2 linked regions of the Oryzias latipes genome follow. The protein of the gene in region 1 interacts with the protein of each later gene in a pairwise test. Links are inferred from orthologs where the notes say so. Each region holds a gene or a part of one and is shown in the gene's direction. Other genes may lie near its edges.

The links.
Region 2: the proteins of pex6 (region 1) and pex26 come close enough for resonance energy transfer, tested with the Homo sapiens proteins (2 studies listed by BioGRID). The link is inferred for Oryzias latipes from reciprocal best matches to the Homo sapiens genes PEX6 and PEX26.

The regions. Positions count from the first base shown.
Region 1 is NC_019859.2:8,881,891-8,889,995, forward strand, and holds the start of pex6 (peroxisome biogenesis factor 6), read left to right. Parts: upstream 1-3,133; 5' UTR 3,134-3,168; coding exon 3,169-3,681; intron 3,682-3,908; coding exon 3,909-4,496; intron 4,497-4,826; coding exon 4,827-4,996; intron 4,997-5,084; coding exon 5,085-5,168; intron 5,169-5,272; coding exon 5,273-5,390; intron 5,391-6,239; coding exon 6,240-6,373; intron 6,374-6,471; coding exon 6,472-6,577; intron 6,578-6,644; coding exon 6,645-6,844; intron 6,845-7,028; coding exon 7,029-7,215; intron 7,216-8,105. Other genes in the region: ttbk1 (tau-tubulin kinase 1), read left to right, coding at 1-343. UniProt on the Homo sapiens protein: Component of the PEX1-PEX6 AAA ATPase complex, a protein dislocase complex that mediates the ATP-dependent extraction of the PEX5 receptor from peroxisomal membranes, an essential step for PEX5 recycling.
Region 2 is NC_019881.2:17,755,819-17,763,715, reverse strand, and holds pex26 (peroxisome assembly protein 26), read left to right. Parts: upstream 1-3,351; 5' UTR 3,352-3,487; coding exon 3,488-3,687; intron 3,688-4,454; coding exon 4,455-4,595; intron 4,596-4,911; coding exon 4,912-5,234; intron 5,235-5,321; coding exon 5,322-5,462; intron 5,463-5,564; coding exon 5,565-5,671; 3' UTR 5,672-6,067; downstream 6,068-7,897. Other genes in the region: hematopoietic lineage cell-specific protein, read left to right, coding at 1,050-1,118, 1,194-1,327; llph (protein LLP homolog), read right to left, coding at 1,966-2,129, 2,556-2,772; ubl carboxyl-terminal hydrolase 18, read left to right, coding at 7,241-7,292, 7,801-7,897. UniProt on the Homo sapiens protein: Peroxisomal docking factor that anchors PEX1 and PEX6 to peroxisome membranes. PEX26 is therefore required for the formation of the PEX1-PEX6 AAA ATPase complex, a complex that mediates the extraction of the PEX5 receptor from peroxisomal membrane.

The DNA.
Region 1 (8,105 bases):
CTCATCCTCGTGTCCCCGTCCATCAACAGACTCTGTCCCACCTGGCAGTCCTCGAATGCCCCTACGTGTTCTGGTTGGAACCCGACGCAGCCTTAGTTCAACCCATTGCAGGACTGACAGCCCCTCTCCTCAAAGAGCATGCCCAACCAGGCAGCCCCTTTCAGTTCGAGCCCCAACTGTCCCCATGCTACCACCCAGGACTACATCAACAATGCGGCGCAGCGCCTCCCAGGAAGCAACTACTCAATCCTCTACGTCCATGCCCACCAGGACCAGGCCAAAACCACCGGCTGTAACTAAAGGGAAACTGAACACCAGGGAAAAAGTGGTACCTGCTAGATAATACAAAGAGTCTCATATCTGAAACGTGTATAATCAGTTACTGGACAAGCTACGCCTCAAGACTTTTCACCTGATTCCATGATAAACTGTGATGCCACAACAATGTTTTTCAATTAATTTATTGTACACAAACATATTTTCTCTGTCGAAGGACTGCAAATATTACTGTCTTAATGGGCTTCCAGTCATCCTGATTAACTGTGCAGGAGTGTTGCTGCAATGGTGCTACAGATATGTCTGCTGCTCCCTGGTCAATCCCTGGTTTAACTGCTTCCGCCAGCTGAAAGTCTTGGCCTCCAACAAGTCCTTTTTCCAGATAAAGCACCTAGCACTGTACTCTTTACACAGCTCTTTTCCACTTCTATCAACGTTACTCTGCTTGGTTCACACTGCATGGTAATGTAATAAAAAAAAAAATTAAACAGACTACAAAATTAAATTATTTGATGTGTTTTTCCCTGCTGATTGGCCGTCAAAAGATTTGATTCGTCTGAATGCCCAACTATATTATTAAGACGTTACCAGCTGCATCCTTTACAGCCTTGGATTTAGAGAAGAGTATAATATGAAAAGTGAATATACTGCTCAGCCACTTGCCTCCTCCTCATGGTGTCAGTGGGCATGCTTTAATCCTTATTTTGTTAATGCTTTGAATTGTACATACCTGAATCCTTTCCCATAAAGACATCTTTATTTTTGAACTTCCCAAGCAAACTGTAAATCGAGTCTGTAGTTTCTTTTTTTCTTTTGATGTATTGGCCCGATGCCTTTCTCTTCTTCTTTTGTACGCATGATAAAAAACAGGGTTAACCATGAAAGGAAATGATACCTGCTTGGATCTGATGCAAAGTTATGCTTTATCCTAGTATGGCGTCCCTGAGCATTGAGCTGTGAAGTAAAGTCTTGGTCCTATATTGAAGTACCCTGTCATTATTTCATTTTATTTATTTTTTTATTAAAAAAAAAATCCCAGGATCTTTTGACTTAAAGCTTTGACTTCATTTGGGTTACTTGATGTCAAAATTAACTGGAGCCAGATTACTTCACCAATTAGCCAAAAATAAAGACAGAAATAAACTTCAGCTCAGTTTGTAAAAAAAAACAAAAAAAGGACTTTGAAGCTTTGTCATAGACTTGCTTTTTAAAATATCCAAAAGGCTTTAGTTGGTTAATAAATAAATATCTCTTTTTACTCTGAAGGGTTGCCTTCAACTACAGAGAGATCACACTCTACAACCTGAGCAGGAGCTTGGTTTTTGTTGCTAGTTGAACCTGTTCCACTGCATGTTGGACTCTAGCATGGATATAATTTGTCACAGGAGGGAGTCTGGTTTGAAGGCAGGATTTCATCTCTGCTGTTTGCAAATGATTTTATTCTGTTTGCTTCAATCAACCTGGACCTTCAATGTGCACTGGGACAGTTGAAGTGGCTTTGGCACCTTTTTATGTTACATATCTAGAAAGGTATTTGATGTCTCATCATTGGGAGTCCCTGGGGAAGAGGACACAATGGAAGTACAATGGCTCTTAGTTGGCCCAACAGAACTGGAGGTGGTTTCTGTGGAGAGGGAAGTTAGAAAGAAAGTTGATGGATAAATCTATGCTTGCCATGTTCGGCGCTATTTTACTTATTTTGATTTTCAAATCAAATGGATTAAATGCAAACAGAAGATCTTTGTGGAAATATTAACGTAATTTGCACTAAACCGTTTTTCCCCTCTCATTTGTTGAAAATTTGTTTTTATGATCTTGTGCAGGAAACCAAAAACAACTCTTTGGTGAAGGATATAAAGGATGGTGTTGAACCACAGCCAAAATTAAAAACATGCAAATGCCAACATTTTCTTATAACAACATTTAAATGTCATTTTTTTCTTTATATAAAATAGTTTTTGATTTTGTAGAAGCACCTTTTTAAATTAGATCTTAAAATCAATGTTGGTCATTTTCATTTCCTTAAATGTTAGAAAAACAAACTAAAAAGGCACTTGCTATGAATACAAAAAAATAAATAAATATATAAATAAAAAATCACAATACCAAAACTTTTTTCAAAACTTCAAACTTCAAATAATGTATATACAATTGCCAACAGTTGCCTGAATGCCGGCATGACAAGCAAAGAGCTCTGCGGCAGAGCTAGTAGTAGCCTAGCAGGAGCTATCGTATGAAAAAGCAGCCTAGGTATAAATCTTATGATATTTTTCTTATATTCATTGAGACAATATTAAAGTGATCATTTTTGTTTTTTATGTTCCTTTTTGAACAAATGTGGGTCACAGAGACACTGAAGTTACCGCTGAAAGCAGCTTTTGCGGCCGTACGGAGAGCATATCCGTGTGAATGACTTATGACGTGAATAATTATGGCGTTCGAATGGATAAATTATTGCGTTTGAACGAATTAATTATTGCGTTCGCATGAGTTAATCATTTTGAGGGAACGGAATAGTATTTCGAGGGAACGCAATAGTATCTTGTGGGAACGGCATATTTTGTGCGAACGAGATATTAATATGTGGGAACAAGATATTAATCTGTGGGAACAAGATATATTTTAATATCTCAATGTCAGGACACGGGCTCCGTATAAGACAATCTCCCTTTAATTTATTTCATGGTTACGTTTAAAAATAAGAACATAAAAATGTATATACTATTTCAATAAATGATTTTTGTTTAATTGAAGTATAATCATCAATAATAAAACAAATATTAGTGAGTCTGGTTTATTTACAAAAAGTTTGCAGTTCACTGGTTCTTCCGTTGGGTGGCAGTAACGTGGTGCGCAGACAGGGTGCGCATTAGGTGCAGAAGAAGAGCGAGTATGGCGCTGGAGGTGAAGTTGTGTTGTTTGGAGGAATTCCCCTCGCACCTGAGTCCTCTAGAGGCTCTGCTCCTTCCAACTCACTTGGAATCAGTTTTTCAAAATGCCACCGACCCTCCGACGGTCCTCTTCATGGCGCAGCAGCCTCAGCTCCGCGGGCGAACGGGCATTCTGCTGCGGGTTCATGCCACTACCGAGGAGGAGGTGTCGGGCTGTGGTGGCGCGAGCCTCCCCGCAGGCAGCGGAGAGCCGGTCCTCCGGCTATTCACCAGCCGTTTCTTTCTGCGGCACCACCGGCTCAAAGGAACCGGCTTCATTCGACCCATGGAGCCTGTCAGCCTGGACCGAGTGGTGCTGGGCGCCCGCAGCAAGCAGAGCCTCTGCTGGGCCGGAGCCAAGCAGTTCTCCGCCGGGCTGACGGAGCTCTGCCAACGGGGAGAGTGGCTGCTTTCCCGGCAGGGAGACCCGCTGCTGCTCCCCCAACACCCGCTGCTCGGAGAAGACCCGGTTCAGGTGAGCAGCTTTATCCAACAAATGCCAGTCTTCTCTAAGTTGACTCTCATATCCAGTTGGTCTTCAAGTTACAACTAGCAGCTAAAAATATAGCGAAATGATTTTTCAATTTAATCCATTCAGACTTTATGAAACATTTTCAGCTTCTTTGTGTAGTTTTTGTTCTTCCAGCAGCCATACTTGTTTTAAATTCGAAGTGTCTTCTCCTCTTCCTCCTCCGGATGAAGGGGCAGCAGCAGCAGCTGATGATGGAGCTGCTGGTGTTGGACTGCAGTCCTGTCACTCAGGGGAGGATCACAGCCAGCACCGCTTTGGTCCTGACAGATTTCTGGGACCCAGTGGACCCCCCGGTGGACCCCGGCCCCTGCGGACCCCTCGGACTGTGCGTGTCAGACTTTGCTCGTTACGCAGACAGCCTGGGAGGAGGCAGATCTCTCCTGGACAGCAGGGAGGTGTTGAGCTCGGGTTTGTCAGACGCCCTGCGGGCGATGGAGTGCAGGCTGGATGTCCGGGTGGTGGACACTCGGCGGCGGTGGTGGGGGGCAGATGTGGACGGCTGTGTTTTCCTGAGCAAGCATCTGCTGCTGCGACTCGGTCTGTTCAACCACCAGTGGGTGAAGCTGGGGAGGCCGGACGGTGAGGATGGGGGAACAGATGCCTGCAGAGACCGGGTGGTGTCTGTGGTGGTGGTGGATCTCTCGCTCTGCCCGGAGTTGCAGCCCCACGGGGATGCAGCCTTCATCTCTGCGACTCTGTGGTTCAACATGACGGATGGAGAGGAGGTTCCTGTGAATGGCTGCAGGCTAACGATGAAGGTGCAGATTCTTCTTCTGATGCTTTTCTGTTTGCTGGAAGTTCTGTTATAGACCCACTCTGATCATCTTTTAAACGATTGCAAAAGCGTTCCCAGTTGTCTTTTAATTATGATTATACCAAATAAAAATAAAAATCTGTGTTGCTATCTAGGATGTAGTTTCCGGAGAGCGGCAGAAATGGCATTCTGAGCTTAATTTTCCTCAAATATGTCCTCCATTATCAGAAAAATTCTACAAGAATAAGTTAAAATGCCAAAAGCATGATTGTCATGGAAGTGGGTCATCAGAGATGAGGTTGTTTTGTGAAAATCTGTCCTGTTCCTGTTTCAGAGGTGGAGTCCGTCGCCTGCAGAACCCGACCTTCGTCGCTCGGACAGCTCCTGCCGCTCAGCTTCTCTACCCATTGCTGGCGAGCTTCACATTCAGCCCGTCGTCTGTCCGTCGTACAAAAACCTGAGCTGCTGTGACGAGCTGCTGGCCGAACATTTCAGCACTCCCAGGTGAGCTCGGCTCGCCAAGCCCGTTTCTGTTTAGGGAAACCAACGGTGATGGCGATCTCCTGGTTCAGAGTTTTTGTTTTTTCCTCAGGGTGGTTGCAGAGGGAGACATCCTGAGCGTTCCCACTGAAAACCATCCGGACCTGCTGGAAAACAGCTTGGAGGGGATCCACAGGTAAAGCAGGCCTCTGCACGTGTGAGCTGAGGAGGAAAAATAAAACCTGCCTCACATTTGTTTACTCTTTGTCTTCTAAATAAACAGTAAATGATTTCTGTCAGGAGCCCAGCGCTTTTCTTCAGAGTGCAGAAAGTGAAGCCTCTTTTAAATGGAGGAGGAGGAGGAGGGGGAGGAGGAGGTGCATACCTGGCTGACAGAACACACACTTCCCTCTTTATGGTGTGTTCTTTTTCTTTTCTTGCATCTTTAATCATTTTTTACCATGAATGACGTTTTTGTGGTTCAAGTTAATCATTGTTAACAGTATCTACCTCGAATTTATGACAACTTGAGACACAAACGGAACTATTTCTATAAAAAAAATACACATTTAGCGTAGAGGACAATATTGGGTGTTTGCCATTTTGTTCAATTACAATTCCAAAAATTGGGTGCCCTGGAGATTTCCCAGAAGTCTCTGCAAGATACAGTGTTCATCAATGCTCACTAGATAGGAGAATATAGACCACAATGCATTGCATTTGAATGATTGGTACTTTATTGATCCCACAATGGGGAAATTCTTCTCCGCATTTGACCCATCCCCTGGGGGAGCGGTGAGCTGCAGCCTAACTGCGCTCGGGAGGCAGTAGCGCTAAGGGCCTTGCCTAAGGACCCTCACTGGGTGATGTTCATTGCTCAATTGATATGGTAATTGACTCAGTACCATTGTTTATTCCCCTCCGGGAATCGAACCCTGGATTCCTGCGTGGTAGCCTCTCACCTTACCAAGTAAAATAAAAACAATGCGGAATGATTGGACATTCAATGATTGGGCATTATAAAAAAATATGATTTTATTTTACAAATGTTCCAGGTTTTCATCATCAGAACACAGTGGATTCATAAATAGTCTTTGACAAATGTTCATATATTTTAGGTTTTTACTTCGGGAAATCTGTGACGTCATATTTGGAGTTTAAAAAAAAGAAAGAAAGGAGTGAGGATGTGTCTGAATAGCTTGAAAATTCAGGGTATTTGGTTGATCCACATTGTTTTTATTTTACTCCAAGGTGTTTGTCTCTTTAGGGGGCGTCCACCAACAGCCCGGTACCGTGCCTCTCTGCAGACTCTGCCTCTCTGTGGAGCAGCTTATCTCCACCGGGACTACACAGAACCGTGGACATGCTCAGCAGCATCATCCTGCCTCATCTGCAGCACAGGTAGAAACTCCTCCTTAAAGTTATCCTGCAGTATCACCTGTCTGTAATCTCCAGTGTTGCATTGTGGGAAATGGTTTGATGGCATATTTTGGTTTTAGGGAGTTTCTGCCTCGATGCACCGTCCTGCTCCACGGCCCTGCAGGGAGCGGGAAGATGACGGTGGTCAGAGCGGCGAGCTGCAGACTCCACCTGCACCTGCTGAAGGTGGGGTTTGCACTTGTTTTTATGAGTTTGTGTGCTCAGCAGCTTCAGTTGTCGTGTTGTGTGTTAGGTGGATTGTGTGACGCTATGCGCTGACACTCCTGCTGCCTCTGAGGCCAAGCTGACGTCGGCGTTTCACCGGGCGGAGGTCCTGCAGCCGTGCCTCCTGCTGCTCAGGAACCTGCAGCTGCTGGTTCGACCGCGAGGAGCCGAAGAGGACGGCAGGGTCCAGGCTGCGCTGTGCCAGCTGCTCGACAGCGCCCCCACCAGGTCGGTACCACGCCAACCTGCTGTTTTATTTGAACAATGCATCTAATACTCTCCTGTAAACTTTCAAAGGTTTTGCAGTTTTAGCTCTGTAACAACTTTGACCCACCGAAATCGGCTATCAGGCGGTTGGATGCAGCTGATTTTAGGTTTTGCAGAAACGTACATCTCTCTGCTGGTGTTGCAGGGTGGCTGTGGTGGCGACGGTGTCCAGAGCTAGAGATCTTTCTGGTGGTGTCATGGCTGCGTTTGTGCACCGGGTGGAGCTAGAGAGTCTCACGGAGGAGCAGCGGCACGCCATGCTGATCAGCCTGAGCAGACATCTTCACCTGGGGAGAGACGTGAGCCTGGAGAGGCTTTCCAAACTCACGGCTGTGCGTACCGAGGCTGAAAGCAATTTTTACCCAACTACAGAAACTAAAGACTTTCCTCCTAAAGACTTTCCTCCTAATCAGGAGGTTTTTTTTAAAAGTACTGTTTACTTTCATTGAAAGGAGAAGTTGAAAGTTTCTTCTTAAAGACCTACCGTAATTTCCGGACTAAAAGCCGCTATTTTTTTCCTGCGCTTACAGCCCTGCAGCTTATTCAGTGACGCGGCCAATTTGGCGGCCGCCATGTGCGTACTTTCAGGTTTGGTGAATGGTTTGAATTATCCATCTAACATCAAACACAAGTCATTTGTTTTGTAACACACCTCTAAGCAGCCAAACAGCATGGACCTCACTTCAGGTCTTAGACACTTCAGTCATGGTTCAACAAAAAGAAACACGCATGCCCGGCCGCATCCCAGAATCCTTTGGTGCCATTAGACCCAACGTGCACGTGATCGCCGCTACAATATGATGAAGCTTTCAAGTTAAAAGCAATCGTTAAAAGCAGCGTGAAAAAATCCCCCATCAGTAAATGGAAATGCCGGTCAGCTGCGTGACGGAGAGAACAGCGCATGCTCAGAAGTGTATTTACCTCTGAGTCATAGTGACTCGGCTGGCTGCACGTAAATATGTGTGAATAACATCAGCCTTTATTTTGTCGGGACACGACTGGAAACACAAATCCATGTGCGGAATTTTGCATTGAAAAGCTCACAGCCGCCGTGTGAGCTTTTCGGATAGGAAGGGGAGACGAGGAGCCTGCTTGGCGAGCGCGGAGCGCAGAGGCATTGTTGTGAAAGGAAACTTCTGACGAACGCGCCGCGCTGAGGCGTGCGTATCGCGCTGAGGCGCGCGCTTTTCAGTCGCCGCTGCTTTATTTTACTGTTTTTTTA
Region 2 (7,897 bases), on another chromosome or scaffold:
CAGCGCGCGGAGTAGATGTCCATCAGGGTGGGGAGAGGGCACCCAATGATTTTCTGAGCTGTCTCTACGACTCTCTGCAGTCTCTTTTTATCCGCGGCCGTGCAGCTGCCGAACCAAACAGTTATGCAGTATGTAAGCAGGCTCTGGATGGATGACTGGTAGAAGGTCAGCAGCAGGTTGGTGCTAATTTTGTTCTTCCTGAGGACCCTCAGGAAGTGCAGACGCTGCTGAGCCTTCTTGATGATGGCGGTGGTGTTGGCTGTCCAGGAAAGGTCTGCAGAGATGGTGATGCCGAGGAACTTGAAGGTGTGGACCCTCTCCACATGCTCCCCATTAATAAGGAGGGGGGCTGGGTCCGCACCATGTTTCCTGAAGTCGACTATGATCTCCCTGGTTTTGTTGGTGTTAAGGGTGAGGTTGTTCTCTGAGGACCAGGTTGTCAACTTCAGGACCTCCTCTCTGTAGGCAGACTCCTCCCCCCTGGGAATGAGTCCGACCACCGTGGTGTCGTCGGCAAACTTGATGATGCAGCTGTTGTTGTGGGCCGGACTGCAGTCATAAGTGTAGAGGCAGTACAGCAGGGGGCTTAGCACACAGCCCTGTGGGGCCCCAATGTTCAGTGTGCGGGTGGAGGAGTGGTGGGGGCCAAGTCTCACAGTTTGTGTTCGGTTTGTGAGGAAGTTGTTAATCCAGTTGCATGTGAGGGGTGGGAGGCCGAGAGTGAGCATGGGGGTGAAATGTTATACGTTCGCTTCCTCTCACTCCTTTTGAAACAAATAAACTTTTTATGACAAACTTCACATTTATTGGATTCAGTGTGTCATGTATTGTATCTTTACGGACATATAGGTCTACTTTTGATTAAAACTAATTATACTGGCATTGCTTACATTTGTATGCGGATGTATATAAACGCAGGTGTATTTGTTTTATTTAAAAAAATTTAATTTTAAAGTTAAGTTACAGTTTATCATTGTTTAATATATATGTAGGATTTTTTCTTTTAATTGTTTGAAATAATCCATAATAATCTTTTTTTTTTTAAACAGAAGTTGAGAACGAATATGAAGACTTGTCTCATGGCCAAAAGGCGATTGCGATTTATGACTATCAGGGAGGTATGTTGATTCACTTCAAGACATAAAGTGCTATGATCTGTTCACAAATGTGTTGTTACATGTCTGTTTCCACAGAGGCAGAAGATGAGATTTCCTTCAATCCAGATGACATTATCACTAACATAGAGATGATCGACGAAGGCTGGTGGAAGGGACAGTGTCACGGTCACTTCGGCTTGTTTCCCGCCTCTTACGTTCAGCTGATTTAAACTTTGTTTTTTTGCACACTCAAACGCTGACTCCTTGTACGGATATGAAGAAATCAGGCAACTATGTACCAATGCACCAAATCAATCCTCATAATGTATCCAACTAGAAATGAGTACATCTGTCCATCTATATATTGCAGTTCTCCTTTCACAATCTTTCTGTTAAGCAGATTTTTTCCAGTACAATTGTGCATCATGCCTTTCTTTTTTAACACTGATTTATCCCTAAAACATCTGTAATCCTATACTTCATTTTACCTATTGCGGGTTATTCTTAGAAGGTAGCCCCGACGATAAACGAGGGACCACTGTAACTCCAAAATCTGAAATGATCCAAATAAAGAAAACTGAGCACTTTCTACACAAGTTGTTTTATGGTATTTATTGTTTGCATTAATATTTGACACAATTTAGGAAGTAGACAAGCAGAAAATACTGTTCATCCTCTTATAGGAACCACTGTGAACGTAAATCATACTGTTTTTACATAGGAACACATTTCTCAAAAATAAAAAGGTTCCTATTGGAATATGGTGGAGCAACAGTTCTGACAGTCCACTAAAGAAGTCACAGCAGCAGAAAGTTTGTATCTGACACGGCAATTTAGTATCAAAAGTCTTTGAATCAGTTACTCCATTTCACCAGGCAATTCCCTTCTTCTTCTTGCCCTTTCCACTTTTCTTTGTCATGCGTTTATCTTTCAGTTTCTTGATCTGGCGTTGGTTCATCCACACAGGGTACCGTCCGTCTTCATCCAAAAGGGTTTTCTTGTTGCGCTTCTTATCTGTGTCCATCTTCAATCCTAAGGACAGAAATGCAGAGATGAGCTGTGTACAACAAAAACGAAAGCACTAAGGCATGCCAACTTTAAACACCCACATTTTTTTAATCTATTTTCAACGCGTTCCCAGTGGTCTTTTATTTATGATTGTCGTTTATAGCCAAAACATCAAAACTGCTTTCTAGTACATAGTTTCTGCAGAGTGGCAGTCGTTCATTAGAAAGTGACCTCCGAGTTGTAGGTGGAATAACTGGCCCCCTTTTCCCTCCCCATTGCTGAGAGCTCTCTGTTTACATACTCTACTGCTAGCTTACAGCCCCTCACACTCCCTTTGAGTCACATGCCAGCTCAGACGAGCAAAACAAAAATGTTCATGGATGTACTAGTCGTCTTTAAGTGGATGGAAACTTGTGGCCACACTTAAAGAACAGAAATCAATCCACTCACCTTCAGCCGCGTCCTCTGCCATGTCAACATCTGTCTGCTTCTTTATCTTATCAGGAGACACCACAGTAGCAATCTCCTCCAGGTCAGCCATGTCCACCTCTCCTTTTTTGTCATTACTCAGAGCTTGTTTAAGTCGAGCCAGCTCCTTTGGGGCATTTTTCTTCCTCTTCTCCGCTCGCATCTTACGCTTCCATTTGCTTCTGAGGCTTTTAGCCATGTTTACTAACTATTTCTAAAAGGAAAAAGAAAATACTTGGTAAATACAAACATTGTGGAGAACTTTAATTTTTTCTTGTAGCCTATCCTTGCATGATTTAATATAACATCTGAAACTTCATAAAACATAGAAGCTGGATTATGATGAGGTTAAAGAAAACAGGCACATCTAAATAAGTTATTGTCACAAAATGCTTTTAACTAGTTTAAAATCAAGATTTTGTTAAACGGTTAAAGTAGTTGTTTGTTAGCTTGCTGGATTGCTAACACGGTAAGCAGCTAATACTAGCTAACAGCTAAAACACAACGTTTTTTCTCTTCTAAATTACCAAAACGCATAACTTTTTTACGCATAAAAGGTAATACAGTTGTGAACTATATTCTGTACACTAAGGGCAAAATCAAAAAGACATCAAATTGTGAAAAATACCTGAAGTTTTTATAGTAGCGACATAAACACAGCACGTGTTTACAGGAATGGCTTGGAAAAAACGACTTGCACTAAGCTGCCATCTGATTGGCTCATTTTACCACTTTGAAGAAACTAGTGTCCGATTGGCCAATTTTTCAAACCCGGAAGTTCAACGAGATTTGTGGATTGTAAACAAACGGCGTGAGCGTCCATTTCCCTCACTAATCGTAGATTTACTTTAGTCAGGTCGAAGGATAAAAATAATTTGAAGGTTTTGCGGGGTTCACACATTTTTCTGGGAGTCATGAGCAGCTGCTCAAGCAGACAGACGCCTTGCAGCTTCGGTTCCGTTAGCAGTTCCCCTCCGCCGTCCTCTGCTGCACTACAGATGATAAACATGCTCGACTCTGCAGCAGAGCAGATGATGGTCTACAGAGACTTCCAGGCTGTTTTTGATACGTGCCAGAGAGGTCTGGAAAAGCTCGCTGGCACGGAGGACAACAGGTGACCCTCATTTAACGAGAAAATTAAGATGGAAAAAGTTACAACTGAAATTTATTTAAAGTAGTACACTTGAAGCTTATTTTTTAAGAATACTTGAGTATAAGTTTAGAAAGTATTCTATAGACCATGCAAGTGTTGTGTTGGAAGACTAAATTGGAACATTTTAAGTTTATAATATATAGATAGTTAAAAAAAAGTACATTTAAAGTATACTGCCTCGCCTTTAATTATATAGACTTAGTATACTTGTAGTACATTCAAATAGCCTACTCAATGGTAAGGGTTATTTTTGGTGCACTTTTTTATGTGTCACAAAGCAAAGGAAACGTTTAATTAAAACACAAGATGTAAGTATAATGGGTTCCTAAAGCTTTAAAGATTATGGGGAAAAAAGTTTTTCTCCTGATAAAGGTTTGGGGTCATTTGTTGGACATTTGACTCCTTCAGGGAAAGAGAAGCCAGTGGCGTGATTATGGGATTTAATATTTTCTGCTGCTCACGATGATTGTGATTGCACAGTTCTAGTTGTATTATAGTTCTTGGAGGCTCCTGCTGAGGATCCCCATGAAGAGAAGGCTGCAGTAGTTCAGTTTGGAGGAAACAAAGGTTTTATCCAGATTTTCTTCATTAGGCAGGCAGGATGAGATGTTTTTAAAGTCCCACTCTGATCATCGTTTGATTTAAACCACAAAAAACACAGTTTTCAACAGAACCTTACGGGGTATTTCTGATTTCTTTTTTTCTTTCCTTTTTTTTTGACTTTGCAGATGTACAGAGTTGAAGACTGGTTTCTGCATCTTGGGGATTCAGGCGCTGGCTGAGCTGAATCGCTGGCACGGAGTCCTCGCCTGGGTTCTGCAGCAGTATGAGCGCCAGGAAGACATACCAGCAAAAATAATGCAGATGTGGTAAGAAATAATAAGAAATACATTAGGTCAAGGAAAAAAGGAATTTAATCTCCTATGTAGTGTTTATAGCATCCTAAATTAGAGCTACATCATTTTTGTTGCATTGAAGCTGCATAGATACCATATATCACACAAAATTGTGCTTTTAATGTCTATTTTAACCTTTGTTTTGTAAAGTGTCTTTGGGTTTCTTCAAAGGCGCTTTAAATAAAATGGATTATTATTCTAATTATTAAATGCTAATAAAAGACAGAGATGGAAGAAAAAATATTTTTGATAAGAGACTAATTGCTCTCCATCCGTTCTTTTTCTGCAGCATACTTCTGTACTCCAAGGTGGGTGAAGCTGCTGAGATGCAGGAAGCAGCCAGTGTTTGGTTAAACTGTCCATCAAATTGCGGATCTGCTGGTTTCCGGACAGTTGCAGAGTTGTATCTTCTACACATACTTGTGCCTCTCGGACATTTTGAGGAAGCTCGGGAGTTTATTGCAGGTGAGGTTGGTGGCATCGCCTTTGCGGAGCGGAAACAGGCAGCACTAAATATTGTGGAAGAAAAAGCACAACAAAGTCGAGAAGCAGCTCTGCGCTCTGGGATCCATCCAGCTTCTGAGATTTCTGCGCATCCTAACTCAGTTAAAGGTTTGACATTTCAGTCATATCAATGTGCATTGTGCTCAATTTCTTGTGCAGAAATAATGACTAGATCTTCCTAATTGTGGTTTGCAGATGCTATAATCCATAAACTCGAAGCTATGCTCAGGTTTTTATACAGAAAAATCTTGACAGCCGGTTCTGGCTTATTCCCTCTCCGGAGACTTTTCCTGATAGCTGTTATCCTCTACATGCTCTTCAGCAGACTGGATCCAGGTTTGAGAAACTCTTCCTCCTCAGTATGTTACTGTTGACTTTTTTATACCCTGTTGATTGGAAATAAATGAATGCCTTTCTTGTTTTTATTTTTTTTTACAGCTGCGCCGTCCTCATTTATGTGGATTTCCAAACTTTGTCAGCTCTTTAAACAGATGTGGAGAACCATGTTTGGACCTTATTATCAGACTCTCAGTCAAAAAGAATAATTGTGGAAACATTTAGTTGAATTGATCTAATTTGATTGTGTTTAATGGAAGGTCTTTACTTTAATTCTGTGTCTCTAACATTTGTTTAATTTCGTTTATAAATTAAAAATAATGATTTTATAGAAGTGCTTTACAAACGAGCAGTTATAGATTCTATTGCTTGATTATTAGTCAACAGCTTATTTAAAAGAGATCCATTGATCATTTAGTTAGAATCTTGAAGTAAAACCCAGGGAGGTGAACAGGAGGTAGACTGTATTTATGTTAAAATGTAGAATTTTGAAAAAACAATAGCTATAATATATTGCAGAGCACTGATTACCTTTTAGGTGTTATATTTTTAATAAAATCTTTATACCTCTAAAATTGTAGCCATAAATAAACTATTAACAATTATTTTCTTGTGTCCATTATTTTTAAGGACCCACTCCAATCATCTTTTGATCTATTTTCAAAGCCCCCCCCCCCCCCCCCCCCCCCCCCGTAATTATTTTTGCCATTTTTAGCCAAAGTAAAAAGGTGGTAGTAGTTCAAGCCTCTGAGTTGTTTGAAGGACTTTTTGGATGCAAGCCTACCCCCATTTCCCATCATCCATATGTTTACATGCTCTCCCACTAGCTAACAGCTCCTCACACCCAAGTGGTAAGGACACCTCCAACCTAACATTAATGGGCTCTGAGCCAGATACCAGCTTGGACAAGGAAAACGAAGACTTGCATGGATTATATTTGTCTGCAAGTGAATGCATCAGGCAGGGATCTTGTAGCCTGCCCATCATATTTTCAATGTTATACGATCTTTTTCAAACTGAATTTTGTTGTCAACTGCAGATTCACAATTTAATTAAAGAAATACTCAGAAATACAATTTTGAGCTTAATTTTCGTTATTTATACTCTGTTATCAGAAAAATGCATCAAGAACAAAAACTTCAAAAGCACCATTTTCATCAGAGTGGGTCCCTTAGGTGAAAATGACAGTGAAAGTGTGATGTTTTGATTTATAAAAGCAAATCCTGGGAGGATCAGAAAATTTCATAAAAAAATATTTATTTTGTAATGTTAAATTAAAAAAAGGCGTTCTTTAGTGAAGTCACGGGGCAATATTTTTTGCTGTTCCAACAGTTTTAAATGGAAATATACCTAAAGCAACAATATTAAGTGCTTAGAGATACGCAATGTTTAAAACGAGTTTTTTTTATAAATAAAGTTCGATTTTATCTGCGCATGTGCAGTAAATCCCATCTTTTTTTATTTTTTTTAACTTATATGTCTCTTAACAGGATGCAGAACACTTAACAGCTGATTTGTGGTTATAGACCTTCCTATAGGATATATGCCACGTTTTACAAATTTGCTTACTTTATAAATGGAGCTGTTAAGTTTCGTTTTACGCGCAGAGGCGGGTTAAACGAAAGCGATGCCGAGGATGATGATGTGATGAAGACTCAGCTGACAGTGCTTTGACTCCAGCAGAAACGTCAATATCACGGAAAAACTCGACAAGAAAGATTTATTCTACCAAAATAACCCGACGCCGGGTTAAACTACTCGACTTCGTTTAAAACGCAATGTCTTATGGGATTTGGAGGATTTTTCCAACGCTGTGGAACACTCAGCTCAGTAAGTTACATTTGTTGTCAACGAAGTTTTTCTTTTTCTTTTCATAAACAAAGTAGTTGAATTTTTATTTAGGATTAAACAAATAAGCAACTTTAAAAAATAAAATTATAATTTGCGCTCAAATTACACCAAAAAGGCTGATTTTACTACATTACTTTTTATAATATACATATATTGTTTTATATATGGTCTGAAGAAGTATTCAGTTAGTATACTTCCTACACTACATGTACATAGTGTATACATGCTATAATCACGTATACTTAATAAAATATACCTCAGGTATACTGCTTTTTAAATGAAACTAAAATAAAATAAAAAACAACCTGAAACTAATAAAAGAAAATCTGAAGAAAAGTAGAAATTTACTCATTAGGTTTTTTTGGGGACCTTTTTACTGCAATCACTAAACCTTCATCCTGTGTGATAAGAAATTCTTTTTTATATTATATTTTATAACATTTTTTATAAACTATCATGTTTAATTTTTGCTGTTCCATTTTTTAAGGAATGAGAGGCCTTGCCAACTACCATTTGTCCTGTTGTGTAAACACTTTGCTGCAGACCTTCTCTGCAACCTGGGAACTACTAGAACTTCTAGAAAG